Linked DNA regions of Callithrix jacchus. The main gene of each other region encodes a partner of the protein of the gene in region 2 in a complex. Links are inferred from orthologs where the notes say so. Each region holds a gene or a part of one and is shown on either strand. Other genes may lie near its edges.

Region 1 (4,155 bases), on a different chromosome or scaffold from region 2:
CTCCTTCAAATCAATCTGCTTTTTTTTACTTGCTTCTTTTTTCTTTCTAAAATCTGTGTTTTGCTGAATCTATTTTCTTTTCTTCTTTCTTTTTCTTTTCTTTCTTTCTTTTTTATTTTTAGAAACAGTCTCTCTCTGTTGTCTAGGTGGAGTACAGTGGTGTGATCACAGCTCACTACTGCCTCCAACTTTCAGGCTCAAATGACCTTTTTGCCTCAGTCTCCTGAGTAGCTGAGACTGCAGACATGCATCACCACACCTAGATAATTTTTAAACTTTTTGTAGAGATGGGGTCTCATTATGTTGCCCAGGCTGGTCTCGTGCTCTGGGGCTCAAGCAATCCTCCTGCCTTAGCCTCCCAAAGTGCTGAGATTACAGGTGTGAGCCACTGTGCCCTGCCTCTTCTCTTCTCTTGTTTTTTTTTCCTCTCTCTCTCCCTCTCCCTTCTTTTTTGAGACAAGGTCTCACTCTGTCATCCAGACTGAAGTGCGGTGGCACAATCTTGGCTCACTGCAACCTCTGCCTCCCAGGCTCAAGTGACCCTCCCACCTCAGCCTCCTGAGTATCTGGGACTACAGGCATGCACCACCACACCCGCCTAATTTTTGGTATTTTTGGTAGAGATGAGGTTTCGCCATGTTGCCCAGACTGGTCTTGAGCTCCAGAGTTCAGATGATCCACCTGCCTCGGCCTCCCAAAGTGATGGGATTACAGGCATGGGCCACCATGCCCGGCCCAATTTTCTTTTCATAGCATCTCTCACTGTCTGAAATGATTTTATCTCTTTATTTTCTTATTATCTGTATTTCTCCACTAGAACGTCAGCTCCTTGAGAGCAGCAACTTTGTTTTGGTCATTGCTGTATCCTTAGTGCCTAGAAGAGTTTCTGGAACATAGCAGCCACTCAGTAAACGAACAAAGGCGTGATTAACCCCTGTGCTTGTTCACAGGCTCGCTGATATAGAAGAGAAACCCAAATAGGCCCAGACAAAAATACACGATAAAAACCCTAGGGTCATCCACATACCCTGGGGACATCCAGAAGCTAGGGACCACCTGCTCCCGCGCTCGCGGTGCCTCGAGGGTGGAGATCCCGAGCTGGGGACGGAGCACTCCCAGGGAGAGAGGAAAGATGCTCTGGGGGCAGCCCCGCCCCTCCCTGTATCCCCAGCAGCCAATGGGAGCGCGGTCCTCCTGACGCCCCCTGGGACGTGTAGTCTGGGCAGGGGCGCCCTCGGGCGCCGCCGAGCGCCCCTAGACTCCACGTCCCGTCGTGCGCTGGGAGGCGCGGGGATTGGCTGAGCCCCGCCCCCGGCCCGCCCCGCTCCGCTCGCGCCGCAGCCCCAAGAATGAATGAAATCGTAGCGCGCTGGGCGGCAGAGCGGGCGGCGCAGGCCGGGCTGGGCCCGCGCGCGGCGGCAGCGGCGCCCCGGGCCGGAGGCGGCCCAGCCGAGCGGGCCATGGCTACCGCCATTCAGAACCCGCTCAAGTCGTGAGTGTCCCCGCCGTCCCCGCCCCCTGTCCAGACCCCCCCACCAGGAGCCCTTCCCCCGCCCGCCCTGTGGCTGAGGAGGGGGACGCAGCGCGCGGACCCGTAGTTGAGTGGGGGCCCCCAGCGCAAACCGTTGCCCCGGGGGTCGGCCACCCCCTGTCGCCCCCTGGGGTTGGAGGCGGGAGCCTCTTCAGGGTCGCGGGGGCGCCTCTTCTTTGTCGCTGTCAGTGAAGGAATGTGGCGCGGGCTGGGGGTGGCGGAGGCCGTTTCCCCACCCAGAGTGGGGGTAGGGGTTTCCCTCTCCTCCATCTCTCCCTCAGGATCTCCGGAGGTGCCGGGCCTGCCCCGGCCGGGGCTGGAAGCTCGAACACCTGAGTCCGGACCTCGGTCCCCAGGGTTTCCATCACCCGCTCTCCCCTCATCAAAGCGCCTTTCTCTCTTTCCCCTTCTTTCTCTGGGGACCCCGGACCTCGCGGCCGCAGGGTGGGAGCTGAGACGTCGGGGGTCCACGGTTCCATCCCCGCTGCCTCCCTTTTTTCCTTCTGGGATCTCCGGGAACTAGAACCCCGAACCCACGGCCAGCATGGACCGCGGCATCCCTTCCTCTCCCCGCCCATACACATCAAACCGGAGCATCTCTGGTCCCCTCCGGGACCGGCCCGGGAAGGGGGTGCCTGCCGGGAGCGCCCTCGGTCTCCGGGGATTCCCTCCCTTTCTTCCTGGCCGCGGCCCTCCGAGCGTTCGCATTCCTCCCGGGCCCGGTGGCTGGGGACCGGGACGCCTGGGTCCGAGCCTAGACCCTCCTGACCCTCCCCTCTCCCTGCCATCCCTCGCGCTCTCCACCCCTCCCCTTCCCCCTCTCCATCTCGGGCTTGCTTCCTCTTCGGGATCCCGGACTCCTGGGTCCCAGAGCTCCCCACCCCCACCCCTAGTTCCTAGGCGGTGACAGCGGTCTCCCAGTGACAGGCGCTTGGCTGCTCCCGCCCTCCCTCCCCGCAGGCGAGCGCAGCGCTCCCCTCCCCCTCCTCCTGGGCCTGGTGGAGGAGGCGGAGGGCGAGCGCCCGCGGCGGCGCCGCACAAAGGGGCCGGGGCGACCTCCCCACCCTTCCCCCAACCCCGCTCGCTGGCTGCCTTGACCTTGAACATCGAGGGCTGGGGGCGGGGCGAGTGGGGACAGGGAGAGAGGGAGCGCACCCCCCACCCCACCCACAAGAAGGGCTGCGCCTGCCGGCTGGACCAGAGGCCGCCAGTTGCTTCTGGTTTCTGGCGGGAATGGGGGTGGGAGGTGGAGGGTGGGAGTTGGGAGAGGAAGGGGGGCAGGGACTTAGAGGCACGCGCCTACACGTGTGGCTCCGCCGTTAGCAGGGTGCCGGGAGCGAGTGTGTGGGACTCGGGTCCGTGAGAGGTGGTGCATGATGCTGACACCCCTCCGCTGCCCTCTCACCCTGAGTGGCACACACAGTTGTCTCTCATGTGAGGGACACTGCACAATGGTTGTGAGCAGGGTGCCGGGAGCGAGAGCTCCTGTGCAGGTTGGTGGATCTACCCCGCACTCTGACCCTGGCCCAGACACTCCCCCCCCCCCCCCAGGAGGTGTGCTGCATTGGAGAGCAGGGACCTGGGGAGAAAGCCTGGACTGAGAGGGCCCTGCCCCCTGTGCCCTCCCCTTCCAAAACGTATCTGCTGGGGTGAAGGTGGGGAACTCCCTGACTCCTGAAAGAATGTGAATCACATCCCTTGGGGAGAAGGAGCTGGAGGGTGCCGCCCTGGGAAGTTCCACTGCCTGAGTTCTAAAACCAGCTTGAGCCATGAACGTCCCCTGCCGCGAGCCTCAGTTTTGCCATCTGTGTATGGGGCTTTTTTTTTGTTTGTTTTTTTGAGACTGAGTTTCACTCTTGTTGCCCAGACTGGAGTGCAGTGGTGTGATCTTGGCTCACCGCATCCTCCACCTCCTGGATTCAAGCGATTCTCCTACCTCAGCCTTCCCAGTAGCTGGGACTACAGGCGCCAGCTAATTTTTGTATATTTAGTAGAGACGGGGTTTCACCATGTTGGTCAGGACGGTCTTGATCTCTTGACCTCATGATCTGTCGCCTCAGCTTACTAAAGTTTTGGGATTACAGGCGTGAGCCACGCACCTGGAGTATGGGGTCTTCTAACAGCCCTTACCACCCCATACGGCTGTCTCGGGGCTTAAATAAGGCCGTCTTTGTAAAGCGCTTAGCACAGAGCTCTGACCCTGACCAAATGTAGTGATTAGTAGGAGTAGTATCAATATTGATTTATGAAATTGATTTCTACTGTGGGTCAGCTCCACACAGGGCACTGGGGGATGGGAGCAGGAGGATTGTTTGGGCCAGGGAGAGGACTCGGAGGAAGTGTGCAGGAGTGTGGGAGGGGTGTGTGCAGGTGATTAGGCAGAAAGGAAAGAAAGGAGAGCCCGCTCCAAGTGTCAGCCTGGGTCTATGGGTAGAAACGCTGCTGGTGGGCCAGGGACGGTGGCTCACGCCTGTTTTTACAAAAATACAAAAATTAGCCGGGTGTGGTGGCACCTGCCTGTAGTCCCAGCTACTTGGGGGTTTGAGACGGGAGGACCACTTGAGCCCAGGAGGTGGATGCCTCAGTGAGCTGTTAGTGCCACAGCCCTCTAGCCTGGGCCATCA
Region 2 (3,500 bases):
ATGTCCAGCCTGTACTGTATCACATCTTTGCACTCTCCTCTCTTTATCCTAGCCCCTCCCTACTTCAATTCAATTTCTTTCGCTCTTGGTACCTAGGTTTCCACATATATACTAATTTGTCTCTGAGTTCACTAACCTATCTTTTGCTATATGCAGCCTGTTATTAAACCCATCAAATAATTTCAAGTATACTTTTCAGTTCTAAAATATTCATGACTCTTTTTTTTTTTGAGACAGAGTCTCACTCTGTTACCAGGCTGGAGTGCAGTGGTGCAAACCTCTGACTCCCTGGTTCAAGCTATTCTCCTGCCTCAGCCTCCCAAGTAGCTGGGATTATAGGCATGTGCACCATGCCCAGTTCCTTTTTGTATTTTTATTAGAGACAGGGTTTCACCGTGTTGGCCAGGATGGTCTCTATCTCCTGAACTCATGATCCGACCACCTCGGCTTCTCAAAGTGCTGCAGTTACAGGCATGAACCACCACCCCCGACCTCATGATTCTTTTCACAGATTCCAATTATCTGTTCAAATTTTCCATTCCCCCCCTCGATTTTCTCTAATAGTGTTTTTTTAAATATCACCAGATTTGAGTAGAAAACTCATTAGATGTATCATAGAAGTACTAAGACGTGCTGGATTATACCCTGCATGAGTTTAGATTAAAAACAAAATCCTTACCTTTGCTAATGTTTTCTTGGAGTAAATGTCAGTACGAAGGCCAAAGTTCTGCAAATCAATTGGTTTTTCCTTGCTTTTCTCAGGAAAATTTAGCATCTGTTGAGCAGCAGGGACCTGAGTCAAATAAATGATAAATGGCTGAGTTAACCTCTTTAAAGTCAAGAGGATAAATGTTTTTCAAAAACTGGGCCATACGCAGTGGTTCATGCCTGTAATCCCAGCACTTTGGGAGGCTGAGACAGGTGGGTCACAAGGTCAGCAGACCGGCATGACCAACATGGTGAAACCCTGTCTCTACTAAAAATACAAAAAATTAGCTGGGCACCGTGGCGCGTGCCTGTAATCCCAGCTACTCAGGAGGCTGAGGCAGGAGAATTGCCTGAACCCAGGAGGCGGAGGTTGCAGTGAGCCGAGATCGCGCCATTGCACTCCAGCCTGGGTAATGAGCGAAACTCCGCCTCAAAAAAAAAAAAAAATTGCTGGGGCTGGACACGGTGGCTCATGCTTGTAATCTCAGCACTTTGGGAGCCTAAGGCAGGTAAATCACGAGGTCAGGAGTTCCAGACCAGCCAGACTAACATGGTAAACCCTGTTTCTACTAAAAATACAAAAATTAGCAGGGAATGCAATCCCAGCTACTCAGGAAGTAGAGGCAGGAGAACTACTTGAACCTGGGAGACAGTAGTTGCAGTTAGCCAAGACTGCGCCACTGCACTCCAGCTTGGGTGAGAGAACAACACCAGCTCAAAAAAAAAAAAACTGTTTAATATTGGCACTTAAACCACTCTTGGTGGATCTCCTACAAAAAAATAAATACCCACACTTCTACACTATACTTCTAACAAAAATTCAACACTTAAGACACATTTTCGCGTCCATTTAAGTCCCAAAAAGGATAAAAAATTTTCATTACTATCTTCTATTTCACCATAGGACAAAATTCTTATACCTTAGGTTCCTGTAAATACAACTTAATGCTAAATACAATTTCCTTGACATAATCTGTTTGATAATGTATATATGAATATAAACTTTATAAATCTTAGGACAAGTTATAAAGATTTCTTTGCCTCACATTTTTAGAACAAAGACTGAAGGAAGAAAAAAAACATTTTGCATCATCTGCTTACTTATGAGTATCTGATGACAGAAGGATAAAGGAAGTTATGTATATAAAAGTAAATTAATAATTTGATAGAGTAAGGCAGTGGGTCTTGGGATTGGTGGGACAGCATTAACTTAAATAGCATATATTATTTTGGACTGTAATATTTACAGTACACCAAAACACACACACACAACCAACCATAAAAGAAATAGCACTATTAATAGCCATTATAATACAATAACAATTATTCCTAAATAGATATGCTGTAAATAGTCAGGTGTTACTATCCAGTTCTGAAGAAAAAGTCGACATTAATTTACCTGAGGTGATCGAAGATGCAGAGGCACAAGCCCAGAGGGTGTATCAGCTAATACATTAAAATGAGGAGTAGGAGGCGGTCCCATTGCCATGGGTCTACTTTCCGGGTCAACTTGGTAATTAACAAGTCCCCACTGCTCTAAAAAGGCATGGACCCTAAAGAAAAAAGCTCGAAAAGTTAAAATCTACAGAATCAACTTCAGGTGCTTTATCATCATCATCATCATCATCATCATCATGATGTTATTAAAAAACAGAAACAATAAAAGAAGTAAATATTCTCAGCAGGCTATGAAACACCACAAACTACCTGACAGATTTTGAGGAAGAATTTCTTAAGTCACAAGTAACGTTGATAACACAGCACCCCCTAAACCTATTACAAAATCTAATCATTTCAACCACAGAAATGAGAGCACAAATACATATTTAGGTCCATTTTAATAAATGAAATCACACACAGACCAAATATACACACCAAAAAAATCCACATTTTGTTTTTTTGTCTTTAGGCAGATCTAGGGCACAGAGCTTATCCACTCTCGACCTGAACCCACTCCATCCCTGCTTATTTTATGATTTGACAAAAAATTAAAAATATGAATTATAAAATCTAAAAAACTGAATTAAATATTTATTTATTCTGAGAGAGTCTCGATCTGTCACCCAGGCTGGATGACACTGCAATCTCTGTCTCCTGGGTTCTCCTGCCTCTTGAGTAGCTGAGATATAGTCATGTGCCACCACACCCAGCTAATTTCTGTACTTTTAATAGAGACGGGGTTTCACTATGTTGGCCAGGCTTGAACTCCTGTCCTCAGGTGATCCACACGCCTCAGATTCTCAAAGTGCTGGGATTACAGGCATGAGCCACCGCACCCAGCCTAAATTAAGTATTTTAAATATTCAACTCCTAATCCTGAATCCAGGGCTCACACCTGCAATCACAGTGCTTCGGGAGGTCAAGGTAGGAGAATCACTTAAGGCCAGGAGATTGAAAACAGCCTTGGCAACACTGTGAAACCCCATCATGATAACATTAAATTAAAATAATAAAATAAAAATAATTTAATTGAATGAAATAAAAAGAAACAAAATATAATCAACCCCTAAATGAGATAACTAAAATTAGGTGTTTTACCCAGTTGAAATATCCAGTTTAATCAAGCAAACATTCGATAGCAATGCATCAGTAAATTCCTACAGTGAAATGTCTCAGAAAAAGTCAAATGCTTTACCTCATTACAGCACATACATCTCCAGTTAAGTTCCTCCGACAAGCAGTGCTGGTTAAGTACTCTTGGGGGTTTAGGCGATACGTGTCAATCATAAAATTTCGATATGCCAAGTATCTAAAAATCAATGGCAAAATTCATAAGGTGGATATGTATTCTT
Region 3 (4,300 bases), on a different chromosome or scaffold from region 2:
ATGTGCCACCCTGCCCAGTAATTTTTTCTCTTTCTTTTTTTTTCTTGCATTTTTAGTAGAGATGGGCTTTCACCATGTTGGCCAGCCTGATCTCAATCTCCTCACCTTGTGATCCACCCACCTCAGCCTCCCAAAGTGCTGGAATTACAGGTGTGAGTCACCATGCCCAGCTTTTACTGTGATTTTTAATCTGACATATATACATAAAAACTCATGGAAGATTACTTAATCCTTAATTCGCCATTTTTTTCTAAAAATACAACCTGAACATGAGAATTCCTACAGAGAAATTCCATACAATTCCTTGGAAATTCTATTCATATGAACTTCAAAGTAAGTATATTATAAATTCTACAAACTGCCGTGCGCGGTGGCTCACGCCTGTAATCCCAGCACTTTGGGAGGCCGAGGCGGGTGGATCATGAGGTCAAGAGATCAAGACCATCCTGGTCAACATGGTGAAACCCCGTCTCTAATAAAAATACAAAAATTAGCCGGGCATAGTGGTGCGCGCCTGTAGTCCCAGCTACTCAGGAGGCTGAGGCAGGAGAATTGCCCGAACCCAGGAGGCGGAGGTTGAGGTGAGCCAAGACCACGCCATTGCACTCCAGCCTGGGTAACAAGAGCGAAACTCCGTCTCAAAAAAAAAAATTCTACAAACTATAAATTATACAAATTTCTTGATTTTTTCATAGATATGAAATACATATTATATATTTTTAATAGACCCATACTTCTTTATATTAAAAGGTTTATTTTATCATTTCAGGACAGAGAAAGTGGATGAAGTTATTAAAGAATGGGAAGGTTCTTTCTTTAAAGATAACCCTCGATTGAGGAAAAAATCTGTTTCTCTTCGATTTGATCTTCATTTAGCAGCCACCGATGAAGGGTGTTTACAGACTAAGCAGGATAATCTACCAGATATAGAAGTCAGGCTTATCATGAGACGATCATGCAGTATTCCCTCTATCAAACCTCCATCGACAGCTGATTAATCCAAAGATAGTATTTGACTTGATTTGAAAATGTTAGGATGGTCCAAGGTGGGCCACACCGACTCCCTTTGTCCCAAAATGTAAGTTATTAAGTATGTATGGAAAAGGTTATGATCAATATGTGGTTCTCTTCAGAAGAAAAAAAACAGTTAAGGACATTTCTCTGAATCTAATTATGGAGATATACATATATATATATATATAAATGAGGGGGTAGCTTAAAAATAAAATCACAAATTCAGTACAGTCTATTTCTTATTTTCCAAATAGTCTTCTTTTTCCCTTGAAACTTCATCAGAGACTGTAAGCATTAACCTGGTTTAGTAAAGTCTTTGTAATTTTTTTCAACGGCTGAACACTCTAAGGAAAAAAGAATTGTTTGAGTAAGATTGTATTATGTTAAGAGTCACACTGAGTTATTCATCATTATTCCATGACTAGTTAAACCTACAATGTTTGTTCTATTTTTCAAAAACAGCAATTATAAACAAGTTTTTTAAGGGGGACTCACTATTCACTTAACGAGAATTCTTCCTTTTTAGAAAATCATTTATATACTCAGAAAAATAAGAGTTATTTTCCATGAGAAATTCTGAGCAAACTATTGAACACACCCCAAGGCTAACTGGATAAGTAAAATTAAGTTAATCTATACATATCTAAATGTTTTTTAAATAAGTATCTGATTTCCAGAAGATTTACTTTACTCAAAGAACTTTAAAGGTTGTATCCCCCACCAAAAAAAGACAAAAATCAGAAGGCCAACTGTACAAACAAAATATGAAAAGCAAATTGAAAAGGTAGTTACTATCATTATCAGAACAGTTACCCGCCATCCCGGTTTTTCCACCTGTACAGCCAAATGTGATTAGAGTGTTTGCTATCAGCCTTAGATAAGATACTATATAAAGTATTATAAATATTTCTTGCAATCATTCATGTGAACTAAGATAACAGTAATTGTTATCTAAGCTAAGAGTGTTTGCAGGATTTGTTTTTAAATTGTTCAAATTGTAATAAATATGGGTAGAAAATATATTTGTGAATAAGTGAGGTATTGTTGCAAAGTTTTTAAAATAACCTAATTTAATACAGGTATATTTAAGATCTTAAATAATAAATACCTGTTTTAAGACATTAGAAATGTATAAGCTCTTAATTTTTTTCTAAGCAGAAAAAGTAGTTGAGTACAACTCACCATACTTTTTCCCAGCTAAAGTATCATCTAAGGGCTCCAGCTATGTTTGCATTTTAGTACAGCCTTTGCAGCCTTTAAAATCTCTCTCTCTCTCTGTACATATATACATATATGTACATATATATATGTATTTCAACCAGAAAAAATATATGATTTAACCAGGAAAATATTATATTATTTTAATATTTAACATAATACAGGGATAAAAATTTTTAATTTTCTTTCAATTACTTCAGATTCCTTTTAGTCTGGCTTATTCTATTTAATGAAAAGGGATGATTTTGTTTTGTCAAGGATATAACAGCATGTTAAGTGCTTATTCTTGCATAAGCATTTGACCTAAAATACATCCTATACATGAAAAAATGTTTCATTCAATATTGCTAAATGCTACTAGCTTTATTAAAGCTTTAAAAATGCAATCATATAAGCTATTGTACTAAAGTTACTGTACGAAGCAGCAGTGATCATAATAAAGCAATATATCTAGCATCATGTATTTCAGTGTTAAAAAAAACTTAGTACTGGGTGTCATGAATGTAACTGCTTGTAGTGATTTCAGTATGTATCTATGGGGTATATAACATGTACATTTAAAAATACAGTTCTTGAATTTATAACGAAGTTTTATTCACTCTGAGGCATTTAAATTGGGATATGAATTTACCAAGGTAATGATACTAACACAATTTAAAAAAGCAAAACACGACCAGGCACAGTGCCTCATGCCTGTAATCCCAGCACTTTGGGAGGCCAATGCAGGAGGATCGCTTGAGCCCAGGAGTTCAAGGCCAGCCTGGGCAATATAGCAAGACTCCATCTCTATAAAAGGTAAAAATAAATAAAAATGAAAAATTGAAAAAATTGAAACATGAATGCTAAAGCTGCATTGTATGTGAGTTTGAACACAGTCCTTTAAGTTCAAAGTATCTCTGCATGGTTAAGTGAAGCAAAGAACTAATTACTCCAATATGGTTAGTTCATTTGGGGAATTAAAAAACCTGCAATCACAGTAGATAGATAATGGTTTTTAACTTGTTTTACAAAAGAAAGTATTAAAATGGTATATTTATATTTTATTCTAATTTTTTTTAATCAAAATAATCACATAATCCTATAATTCTGGGAAAAGTATAATAATGGCAGCACCATTTGCAAAGTACTTACTCAGCTGCAGTCACTGTGTTGAATCCCTAATCCTTCCTTACAACAATCCTACAACATGAATAATATTATCCTTGGTTTATACAAGAGTAGAAATTAATATTCTTGAATCGCTTGGAAATGTTACAAATGCATGCTTGCATAACAAAATACAAAACTGAAGAGTTATTCCAATTACTAACAACTGTAGGATCCTAGCCCTGGCTCTGTCACTAATTAACCCTGTAACCAGGAGGGACTACTTTAAGTTCCTACGTCTCAAGTTTTACATTTGAAAACAAAGGAAAAGGTAATGCTGGGTAATAATTCCTACTCTGCCTATTTTACAATTCTTTGAAATAATATACAAGCAAAAATATTTGGTAAAGCACTGCTCAGATACACAGTACTATTTGGAAGAAAACTGTCTTCAGAGAATTTGTGGGGAAAATTATAGCTGACAATGATTAAGTAATAATTCAAAACACAACGGGTAAAGATACTATTTTGGTTTTTGGGGTTGTTTGTTTGCTTGTTTTGAGACTGAGTCTCACTCTGTCACCCAGGCTGGAGTGCAGTGGCATGATCTCGGCCCATTGTAGGTTCAAGCGATTCTCCTGCCTCAGTCTCCACAGTAGCTGGGATTATAGGCATATGCCACCATGCCCAGCTTATTTTTGTATTTTTGGTAGAAATGGAGTTTCACCATGTTGGCCTGGCTCATCTCCAACTCCTGACCTCAGGTGATCTGCCCACCTCAGCCTCCCAAGGTGCTAGGGTTACAGGCATGAGCCACTGTGCCCGGACAAGATACTATTTTTAATTTTTCAATTACTGCCAGAAAAGCAATTCTTTCCCAATAAGTCTCACCCAGTTTGAACTGTTCTGTCATGATAGCTTTTAAAGTACTAAAATATTCTGTATGCCAGGCACAGCGGCTGATGCCTATAATCCCAGCATT
Region 4 (4,114 bases), on a different chromosome or scaffold from region 2:
CCACTGCAGTGGAAATGAATCAAAATAGTTTTTATGGAAAGCTGAAGAATGAAATAATTTTGGAAAACTATGCCCTAACAAAACCTTAAATATTGTTTCTGCCAGCTTTTAAATGCTTTCTCTCCGTGAAAACTGAGTCCGCACTGGTACAAGTGGGCCATTGCCTAAGATTAAGAAGTCTTGCTTTTCAAAATGTTACTAAATGATTAATAACAATGCAAATATTTAAAACACTAGTAACAATGCAAACGTTTAAAACATTGTAAAATGATAGACACCAGTTTTTAAGAGAACAAAGTATGGAACGTTTCTACTTTAGGATTAGACTGTTTTACATTATTATTGGTTACATTTATTCAATATAATGTTTATAATATTTTTGTTTTGTTTCACATTTCTTTGAATGTATATCAAGAGGGTTAACTGTGTACATGCAGCTCTGAAATAGGATGAAAGGTGTCATGCAGATTTATGAAGATACAAGCTAACCCATAGCTGTCGCTGTTCTGGCACCAAGAGTTAAATTTTCCTGTGGAAGTTGGAGCAGAAAACACCTCTGTACATACTCGAGAGAGGACATCTAAGTGCACATAATAAGAAAAATGCTCCTTTGGGAATACTTGGAGTTTTCCTTGACAAGCCTAATACGTGTTTAAGGTGTCTTCAGAAAGAGTTATGTAAACATTCTCTTTGGAACGAGTGATAAACATTTATTAAGTACCTGCTGTGTACAAAGCACAGGGCTCTCTGACCGGGGCTAACTTTCATTTCAAATCTTTACTAATTCTGCAGTTGGAAGAAGTTGTGGGAATTACGCCGATGGCCCGAAATCAAGGCAGAGGCAAACGTTCTGAGAATTACATAACTCCTGGGAGAGACCGTGCTTTTGCACAGATTGCCTAAATATTTTCTTTCTCCGTCGGCTCCTTGTAACCTCTGAGGCCAACAGACAACTTTGTTCTCCGGCCCTTCTCCCTCTTTTGTCTGCTCGTCAGACTCGTTTTCCACCTTTGTATCGTTCCTTTTAGACGTGAAAACAAACACGCGAACGCCCGGTTGGCAAGGAGACAGCGGCCCGGGGGGAAAGTGCAGGTTCCGGCCGCCCCACGCCGCCGCGCTCCGGACCGCCGCCGAGCCGCCCCGGCCCTGGCCCCAGCCTTAGTCCCAGCCCGGCTGGGCCCCGCGAGGCTGAGCCGGGGCGGGCGGGCGGCGGCGACTGCAGCCCGGGGACGAGTCCAGTCCGCGTTTTGCGAGTGCGCGGGAGTAATGCGAGCGAAGTGGATAATAGTTGCTGGAGCTCGCCCGCTTCTTCTCATGCCATGCTGGGCCCGATAGGCTCAGCCAGTCGTGTATTTACCCATATCCGGGTTAGAGAGGAAAAGAGAAAAGTTTCATTTAAACCTGAACTAAAAACTTTCACCATGAAAGCACACAGCAGGAGCAGGCCCAGAGCGTAAGGCGTGCCCGGCCCGGCGCTCCGGCGGGGCCTGAGGAGGGGGAGGGGGTCGCGGCTTCCCGGCGGGCCGCGTGGATGCGCACAGGAGGGGCCGCGGCCTGAAAAGTGGGGGTTATTGTCTCCCCCCACCCCCCGCCCGGCCTCGCCACGCCGCGGCGATCATGGCCGCGCGGGCAGCAGCGGCGGCGGCGGCGGCGGCGGCGCGGGCGCGGGCGCGGGCAGGCAGCGGCGAGCGGCGGGCGCCCCCCGGGCCGCGGCCGGCGCCCGGGGCCCGGGACCTGGAGGCGGGGGCGCGCGGCGCGGCGGCGGCGGCGGCACCGGGACCCATGCCGGGGGGCGGCGGCGACAGCGGCGGCGGCCTGAACAGTGTGCACCACCACCCCCTGCTCCCCCGTCACGAACTCAACATGGCCCATAATGCGGGCACCGCGGCCGCCGCCGCCGGCACCCACAGCGCCAAGAGCGGCGGCTCCGAGGCGGCTCTCAAGGAGGGTGGAAGCGCCGCCGCGCTGTCCTCCTCCTCCTCCGCGGCGGCGGCGGCGTCCTCTTCCTCCTCGTCGGGCCCGGGCTCGGCCATGGAGACGGGGCTGCTCCCCAACCACAAACTGAAAACCGTTGGCGAAGCCCCCGCCGCGCCGCCCCACCAGCAGCACCACCACCACCACCATGCCCACCACCATCACCACCATGCCCACCACCTCCACCACCACCACGCACTACAGCAGCAGCTAAACCAGTTCCAGCAGCAGCAGCAGCAGCAACAGCAGCAGCAGCAGCAGCAACATCCCATTTCCAACAACAACAGCCTGGGCGGCGCGGGCGGCGGCGCGCCTCAGCCCGGCCCCGACATGGAGCAGCCGCAACATGGAGGCGCCAAGGACAGTGCCGCGGGCGGCCAGGCCGACCCCCCGGGCCCGCCGCTGCTGAGCAAGCCGGGCGACGAGGACGACGCGCCGCCCAAGATGGGGGAGCCGGCGGGCGGCCGCTACGAGCACCCGGGCGTGGGCGCCCTGGGCGCGCAGCAGCCGCCGGTCGCCGTGCCCGGGGGCGGCGGCGGCCCGGCGGCCGTCCCGGAGTTTAATAATTACTATGGCAGCGCTGCCCCTGCGAGCGGCGGCCCCGGCGGCCGCGCTGGGCCTTGCTTTGATCAACATGGCGGACAACAAAGCCCCGGGATGGGGATGATGCACTCCGCCTCCGCCGCCGCCGGGGCCCCCGGCAGCATGGACCCCCTGCAGAACTCCCACGAAGGGTACCCCAACAGCCAGTGCAACCATTATCCGGGCTACAGCCGGCCCGGCGCGGGCGGCGGCGGCGGCGGCGGCGGAGGAGGAGGAGGCAGCGGAGGAGGAGGAGGAGGAGGAGGAGCAGGAGCAGGAGCAGGAGGAGCAGGAGCGGGAGCTGTGGCGGCGGCGGCCGCGGCGGCGGCAGCAGCAGCAGGAGGCGGCGGCGGCGGCGGCTATGGGGGCTCGTCCGCGGGGTACGGGGTACTGAGCTCCCCCCGGCAGCAGGGCGGCGGCATGATGATGGGCCCCGGGGGCGGCGGGGCCGCGAGCCTCAGCAAGGCGGCCGCCGGCTCGGCGGCGGGGGGCTTCCAGCGCTTCGCCGGGCAGAACCAGCACCCGTCGGGGGCCACCCCGACCCTCAACCAGCTGCTCACCTCGCCCAGCCCCATGATGCGGAGCTACGGCGGCAGCTACCCCGAGTACAGCAGCCCCAGCGCGCCGCCGCCGCCGCCGTCGCAGCCCCAGTCCCAGGCGGCGGCGGGGGCGGCGGCGGGCGGCCAGCAGGCGGCCGCGGGCATGGGCTTGGGCAAGGACATGGGCGCCCAGTACGCCGCTGCCAGCCCGGCCTGGGCGGCCGCGCAACAAAGGAGTCACCCGGCGATGAGTCCCGGCACCCCCGGACCGACCATGGGCAGATCCCAGGTAACCCCCGCGCCGGCCGGGCCTGCTTCCGCCCGGCGGCCTCGCCGCGCCGCGAGCCTGAGTTTCTTTCTTTGCCGCGTACTTTTCCCCGTCTTCCCGCGGGGGTGGCGGGGGCGGCGGGGGCGCGGCGCCCAAAGCCATCTTGACGGGCGGCCGCCTCCCACCGCGGTCGGGGCGCCCCCGGGACCGACGAGCTGTCCAGGCCTGGGAGGGCTTCGCCGGGCCGGGCCGGGTGGCTTCGACCCCGCCGGCCCGCACCGGCGCCCCCACCCCTCCCCCAGGCCCGGGAACGCGAGGCGAGATTCCGAGGCGCCACCCGCACGGACGCCGTTTGGGGCGGCAGGGACCGTTCGGGTGCTTTTGTAACAAACAGGCTCACCCGGCCCGGACGGCCGGGGCGAAGAGCCACCTGATCGGCTCTGGGAGCGCCCACAGTGTGCTTTAACGGGGGAAAGAACGAGGAACTTTCTCTCACCTTGGGCCACAGCTCGTTCCCTCCTGGCTTCCGAGGTCCAGGCAGGGAAAATAGGTTAGCTTTGTGACAAGCTAGCGGGTTTTTCCTACTTAGGGAGAGCTTTTCAGACACACTCGGTGCGGGCTTCGAGCTCGAATGTTTGCTGGCAGGAATAATTCCAAAATTTACAACGACGGGGAGGTGCAATATTCTAAAATACATCGGTTCGTTCCTTAGAGTAGCCAGGGAAATCCATTATTGGGCTTACGGGCTGCT
Region 5 (4,279 bases), on a different chromosome or scaffold from region 2:
ATAAAGATTCCACATTTCCCACTCAATAAAAAACCCAGTAAAATCATTTCAATTCTGCAAAGCAAACAGTGTCAAAATTACTCAAGACAAATGCATCTTCAGAGCCATCAAAGAAGTCATTTATACCATCAGGAAAGTCACAAAACCAAAACAAACAGCAAACCCATTGTAGAGAAAAAACTCAGCTACTGTTCTGACAACACAGAATCCATTTCAGGCTGCATAAAACATAACAAGCAAAATAAATCCAAGGTATATGCAAAATGCCATTGCCTCCTCTTTTGTTTCGGGCACAATGTAACAAGGACAGGCTGTCTGAGACTCTGCTCCTGCTGATACAGTATTGCTACTTAAACCTCCCTCCTCAAGGTCACAGCCAATTTCAACTCTGGAATAAAAGGCAGATAGTGACAGCAATGGTTTGGGTTATCACTGGCAGAAAAGCAGAGTGTAAAAGTTTATGAGCTCATCAGGATTGTTGTACCATTACATCAGAGGCAATTATAAATGGCCAAGAGCAGGAGATGGGGAGCCAATCAGATCACAGATAGGATGTCAACCTAAGACCAACTGTCTCCTGGCTTTGACAGAAGGATTTTACCTCCATAATTCAAATCCCAAACCAAAGCAATCTGCACTTACTACTCCAATCACTCAGCTGTTTACCAGCACTTCCAGGGAGAAGCCCAGGCCACTGGGCCGGCGGAGCCTAAGACAGGAGATGGCCCGGGCTGCCCTAGGTGAACCGCAGCCGGCCTCTAGCAGCTCCCAAGCAGTCCCCTGCCCTCCCTCGAGGTCCCCCCGAGGTCTAGGGGCCCTCCTTGAAAGCACGGAGGCGGGGGGCGGCCCAGAGGAAGGCCGGGAGACGGAGAGGAGCGGCAGGTGAGCAAAGAAAAACGTTCACTCAACTCCTGGGCTCCTACCACTGCCTACACTTCTTACCTGAGCCCCCAGCACCCCCTCACCCCCGGCCAGGCCCTTCCCCGCACACTCTGCCCCGCATCCCCATGACGACCCCTGGAGTTCAAAGGAACCAGGGGAAAGGAAAAAGAGGAGCAGACATTTCTAGGAAAGCCCGACACAAAGCCTAAAGGAGGGAAGGAGAGGAAGGCAGACAGGCAGCCATTTTAAGAAAGAAGAGCCAGACAATGGCAGCTCCCCAGCAGTGGGGGCCCGGGACTGAGGGGAGCCCAAGGCTGTGGCCCGCTCACCGCAGCCACCACCCACCCCCAGGACCACGTTCGCCCCAGCCCCCTCCCCACTCAGCTGTGTACCTGAGGGGTCCGGGCGAGCGGCTGCCCCCCGCCGCCACTGCTCCCGGGGCTCATGGGCGCGTGGTGGCTCCTTTGTTGGGCCCCTCCCGAAGCGGCTGCCGCCGCCGCCGCTGCCGCCGCCGCAGCCCCCCAACACTGCGAGGCCATGTCCGCCGGGCCCTTGCCAGCGCCCCCGTCCTGGGGCCCGCCGCCGTAGTCGGCCCCGGGGTAGCCCTGGTAGCCCCGGGCAGAGCTGGGCGACGTGAGCAGTTGGTTGAGGGTGGGGGTGGCGGTGGGCTGAGGGGTTCCCCCGCCGGCCGCGGAGGGGCCGCCTCCCCCCATGGCCCCGAAGCGCTGCTGAGCGAAGGACGAAGACGACGAGGAGGCGGAGGCGCTGGAGGAGGGAGGCGGCTTGGAGCCGGCAGCCGCCGCCGCCGCGCCGGAGCCCGGAGTGCCACCTCTCGGGGAGCTCAGCGCGTAGGCCGGGGCGGGCGGGGGGTAGGCGCTGCGGTTGGGGTAGTAGGAGTTGTACTGGTGGTTGGGGAAGCCGTGGTCGTGCGAGTTCTGCTGGGGCCCCGCGTAGGGCTCCAGGCCCCCGCCGCCGCCGCTCTGCAGCGCTGCCAGGCCAGGGCTTTGTTGTCCGCCATGTTGTTGGTGGAAGACGGCGGCCGCGGCGGCGGCGACGGCAGACGGGCTCCGGCCGTAGGGTTGCCCGAAGCCGTAGGCTGGGGGCGGCAAGGCGGCCGCGGCTGAGTGAGGAGGCGCCCCCACCCCATCGCTGCTGCCGCCACCGCCGCCGCCGGGCGGCTCCGTGAGGTTATTGTTCAGGGCGGGCCTAGGGCCCGCGTTCCCGTTTGAGTTCTTCAGGTCCGGCTCCGCGCCGGGCCCGCCGCCGCTGCCGGCTCCGCCGCTGCCGCCACCCCCATTGCTCTCGGCCCCGTCCTGCAGCTCCTTTCCCAGCGGCTGCGGAGGCCCCACGGCGGGACCCTCGCTTTCCTGCCCGGCGGCTGCCTTCATTTCCCCGCGCTCGGCCGCTGCCGCCGCCGCCGCCTCGCCCCCCGCCTCCTCCCGCTGCTGCTGGTCGGCTTTCTTCAGCTCCGAGGGCGGCGGCGGCGGCGGCGGCGGCGGGTTGCCCAGGCTGCTGGCGGCGGCGGGGGCGACCTGCGCGGCCATGATCCCCGCTGTCTCGTCCGCGGAGAGACCCGGCCCTGTCTTCGTCTTCTCCCCCCCCCTCCCACCCCGCCCCGGGGCCGAGTCCCCCGGGCTGCCCTCCCCACCCGCCCGGGCGGGCCTCGCGGGGCTCCGCTGCTGCGCTGCGCTCGCTCCTCTCCCCCCCGCCCCGCCGGCTCAGGCTCCGGGCTGGCGGCGGCGGAGGAGGAGGAGGCGGCGGCGGCCGAGGCGCCGGCGGCTCAGCTGCTCCCGGCTCTGTAGGCTCGGGACCCGGCTCTCCTGGCTCATTCCCCCCAAGCCCTTGCCTGGGAATGAGGGGGGCGGTGGAGGCTCCGCTCCCCAGGGCCTGGCCCCGCTGTGACTCTCCGCTTTCTGCTGCCGGAGAAAGGAGGAGGGAGGGAGGGAGGGAGGCGAGGGGGGAGGGGGCGGGGAGGGACGGAGGGAGGGAGCGGGGGGAGGGGGACCCGGGACGGGCGGGCTGGAGGGCGCGCGGCAGCAGCCGGGGTGCCGAGTGCCAGAGTCGGAACGCGCGCCGGGCCGGGCGCCCAGCCTCCCCTCGCCAGCCGCAGCTCGAGCCGAGGCTGCTGCGCGGCAGCGGGCTAGCGAGCAAGCGGTCGGCCGGACTCAGCGGCTAGAGCGCCCCACTCTCCTCCGAGTCCCCCTCACTCCGACACGAGGCTCAGCACTGCCATTTTACCCAGCGCCGTCGCGGCCGCCTGGCAAACCCGGAGTGGAGAGCGGAGCCGGCGCAGGCCGTGGAACGGACTCGCTCCCTTCCCCTCACAAAGGAGGAGGGGAGAGAACGAGCAGCGGCGGCGGCAGGCCCTCAGCCGCTTTCGCTAGGCAGCGCCGCCGCCGAAGGCTTCGGAGAAAACCCGGCCCGGAGCCCGCGCCTCTGGAGCCTGCGTCGCCTCCCTCCCGGCGTCCCTATCCTGATCTGTCCCCTGCCGGCCGTACCGAAGGGAGCGGGCAGCGTGAACTTTACCCGCGGCTGCAAAATTGGCCAGAGCCCGAGACCGCGACCGCCTCGGCCCAGCCCTGACCCCCTGGCAACCGGCCCGTTCCGTTGGCTGCTGCTTAGCACCTCTACAGCACTTTTCAAAGCCTTCTACTGACCCCGCTAAAGACCCAGCTGAGTGAGCCCTGATTCTTACCCCTTTTGCAAGCCCAAAGGAATGACTGATCATTGTTTGGATGATTCGTTTCCCACTCGCCTGCCCTCATTCGCCGGTCCTCACAAGGCTCTGGGGGCTTGAGGTTCGGATTATCCCCATTTCACAGAATTGAAAGAGAGGGGAGGGAACTCCCTGTCACTTAAAGTCAGAGGGTAGAGGAGGGTGACTTTAAAAGAAGTGGAGTTACCAAAGCTGCCTTCGGTCTACTTGCCTTAAAAAAAATTGTGAGCACATTCAACAATGATACCAGAATATCAAAATGGATTTGAAGTCAAAACTGATCATCTCACCTCTGACTTAAAATGGAGGCCACTGAAGCTGTTTTAGGGGCACAGAACAGTCATCCAGCAGGAGAACCCAAACCCTGTTCTCACTCTCTTAAGATAACTTAGCCCACAATGACCAGTAGCCCTAGTCTCCAAAGACAGTACCTTGTAAGACTGAAAAGCCACAGAAGAGGCTCCAGGGACTGCAGGAACCTGAGTGTTCAAACAATTATCAGAAGAGAGATGCACAAAATGGAAACCATTTTCTCCTTAAAGAACAGGCACAGTCCAACAAGTCACTTAGAAAATGCATGCTTCTCAGATTTGTTTTCTATCCTGTAGTGTAAAGATAGTTTAAAGTTTACCATTACATTCTAAGAGACCCCGATTGAGTTGGGTATAAGGCCAGGTTTAT

What was found. The genes of interacting proteins can lie anywhere in the genome.
Region 1: SMARCC1 (region 2) and DPF1 share a complex: the UniProt entries of both Homo sapiens proteins name them as parts of the neuron-specific chromatin remodeling complex. The link is inferred for Callithrix jacchus from reciprocal best matches to the Homo sapiens genes SMARCC1 and DPF1.
Region 3: SMARCC1 (region 2) and SMARCE1 share a complex: the UniProt entries of both Homo sapiens proteins name them as parts of the BAF complex. The link is inferred for Callithrix jacchus from reciprocal best matches to the Homo sapiens genes SMARCC1 and SMARCE1.
Region 4: SMARCC1 (region 2) and ARID1B share a complex: the UniProt entries of both Homo sapiens proteins name them as parts of the neuron-specific chromatin remodeling complex. The link is inferred for Callithrix jacchus from reciprocal best matches to the Homo sapiens genes SMARCC1 and ARID1B.
Region 5: SMARCC1 (region 2) and ARID1A share a complex: the UniProt entries of both Homo sapiens proteins name them as parts of the neuron-specific chromatin remodeling complex. The link is inferred for Callithrix jacchus from reciprocal best matches to the Homo sapiens genes SMARCC1 and ARID1A.

Annotation. Positions count from the first base shown.
Region 1 is NC_133523.1:33,815,102-33,819,256, reverse strand, and holds the start of DPF1 (zinc finger protein neuro-d4), read left to right. Parts: upstream 1-1,355; 5' UTR 1,356-1,460; coding exon 1,461-1,492; intron 1,493-4,155. UniProt on the Homo sapiens protein: May have an important role in developing neurons by participating in regulation of cell survival, possibly as a neurospecific transcription factor. Belongs to the neuron-specific chromatin remodeling complex (nBAF complex).
Region 2 is NC_133516.1:30,366,093-30,369,592, forward strand, and holds part of SMARCC1 (SWI/SNF complex subunit SMARCC1), read right to left. Parts: intron 3,458-3,500; coding exon 3,344-3,457; intron 2,262-3,343; coding exon 2,108-2,261; intron 794-2,107; coding exon 680-793; intron 1-679. UniProt on the Homo sapiens protein: Involved in transcriptional activation and repression of select genes by chromatin remodeling (alteration of DNA-nucleosome topology).
Region 3 is NC_133506.1:92,613,396-92,617,695, forward strand, and holds the start of SMARCE1 (SWI/SNF-related matrix-associated actin-dependent regulator of chromatin subfamily E member 1), read left to right. Parts: upstream 1-1,500; 5' UTR 1,501-4,300. Other genes in the region: keratin-like protein KRT222, read left to right, coding at 770-998. UniProt on the Homo sapiens protein: Involved in transcriptional activation and repression of select genes by chromatin remodeling (alteration of DNA-nucleosome topology).
Region 4 is NC_133505.1:163,604,924-163,609,037, forward strand, and holds the start of ARID1B (AT-rich interactive domain-containing protein 1B), read left to right. Parts: upstream 1-1,314; 5' UTR 1,315-1,617; coding exon 1,618-3,384; intron 3,385-4,114. UniProt on the Homo sapiens protein: Involved in transcriptional activation and repression of select genes by chromatin remodeling (alteration of DNA-nucleosome topology).
Region 5 is NC_133508.1:63,351,479-63,355,757, reverse strand, and holds the start of ARID1A (AT-rich interactive domain-containing protein 1A), read right to left. Parts: upstream 2,801-4,279; 5' UTR 2,427-2,800; coding exon 1,275-2,426; intron 435-1,274; exon of another isoform or gene 1-434. UniProt on the Homo sapiens protein: Involved in transcriptional activation and repression of select genes by chromatin remodeling (alteration of DNA-nucleosome topology).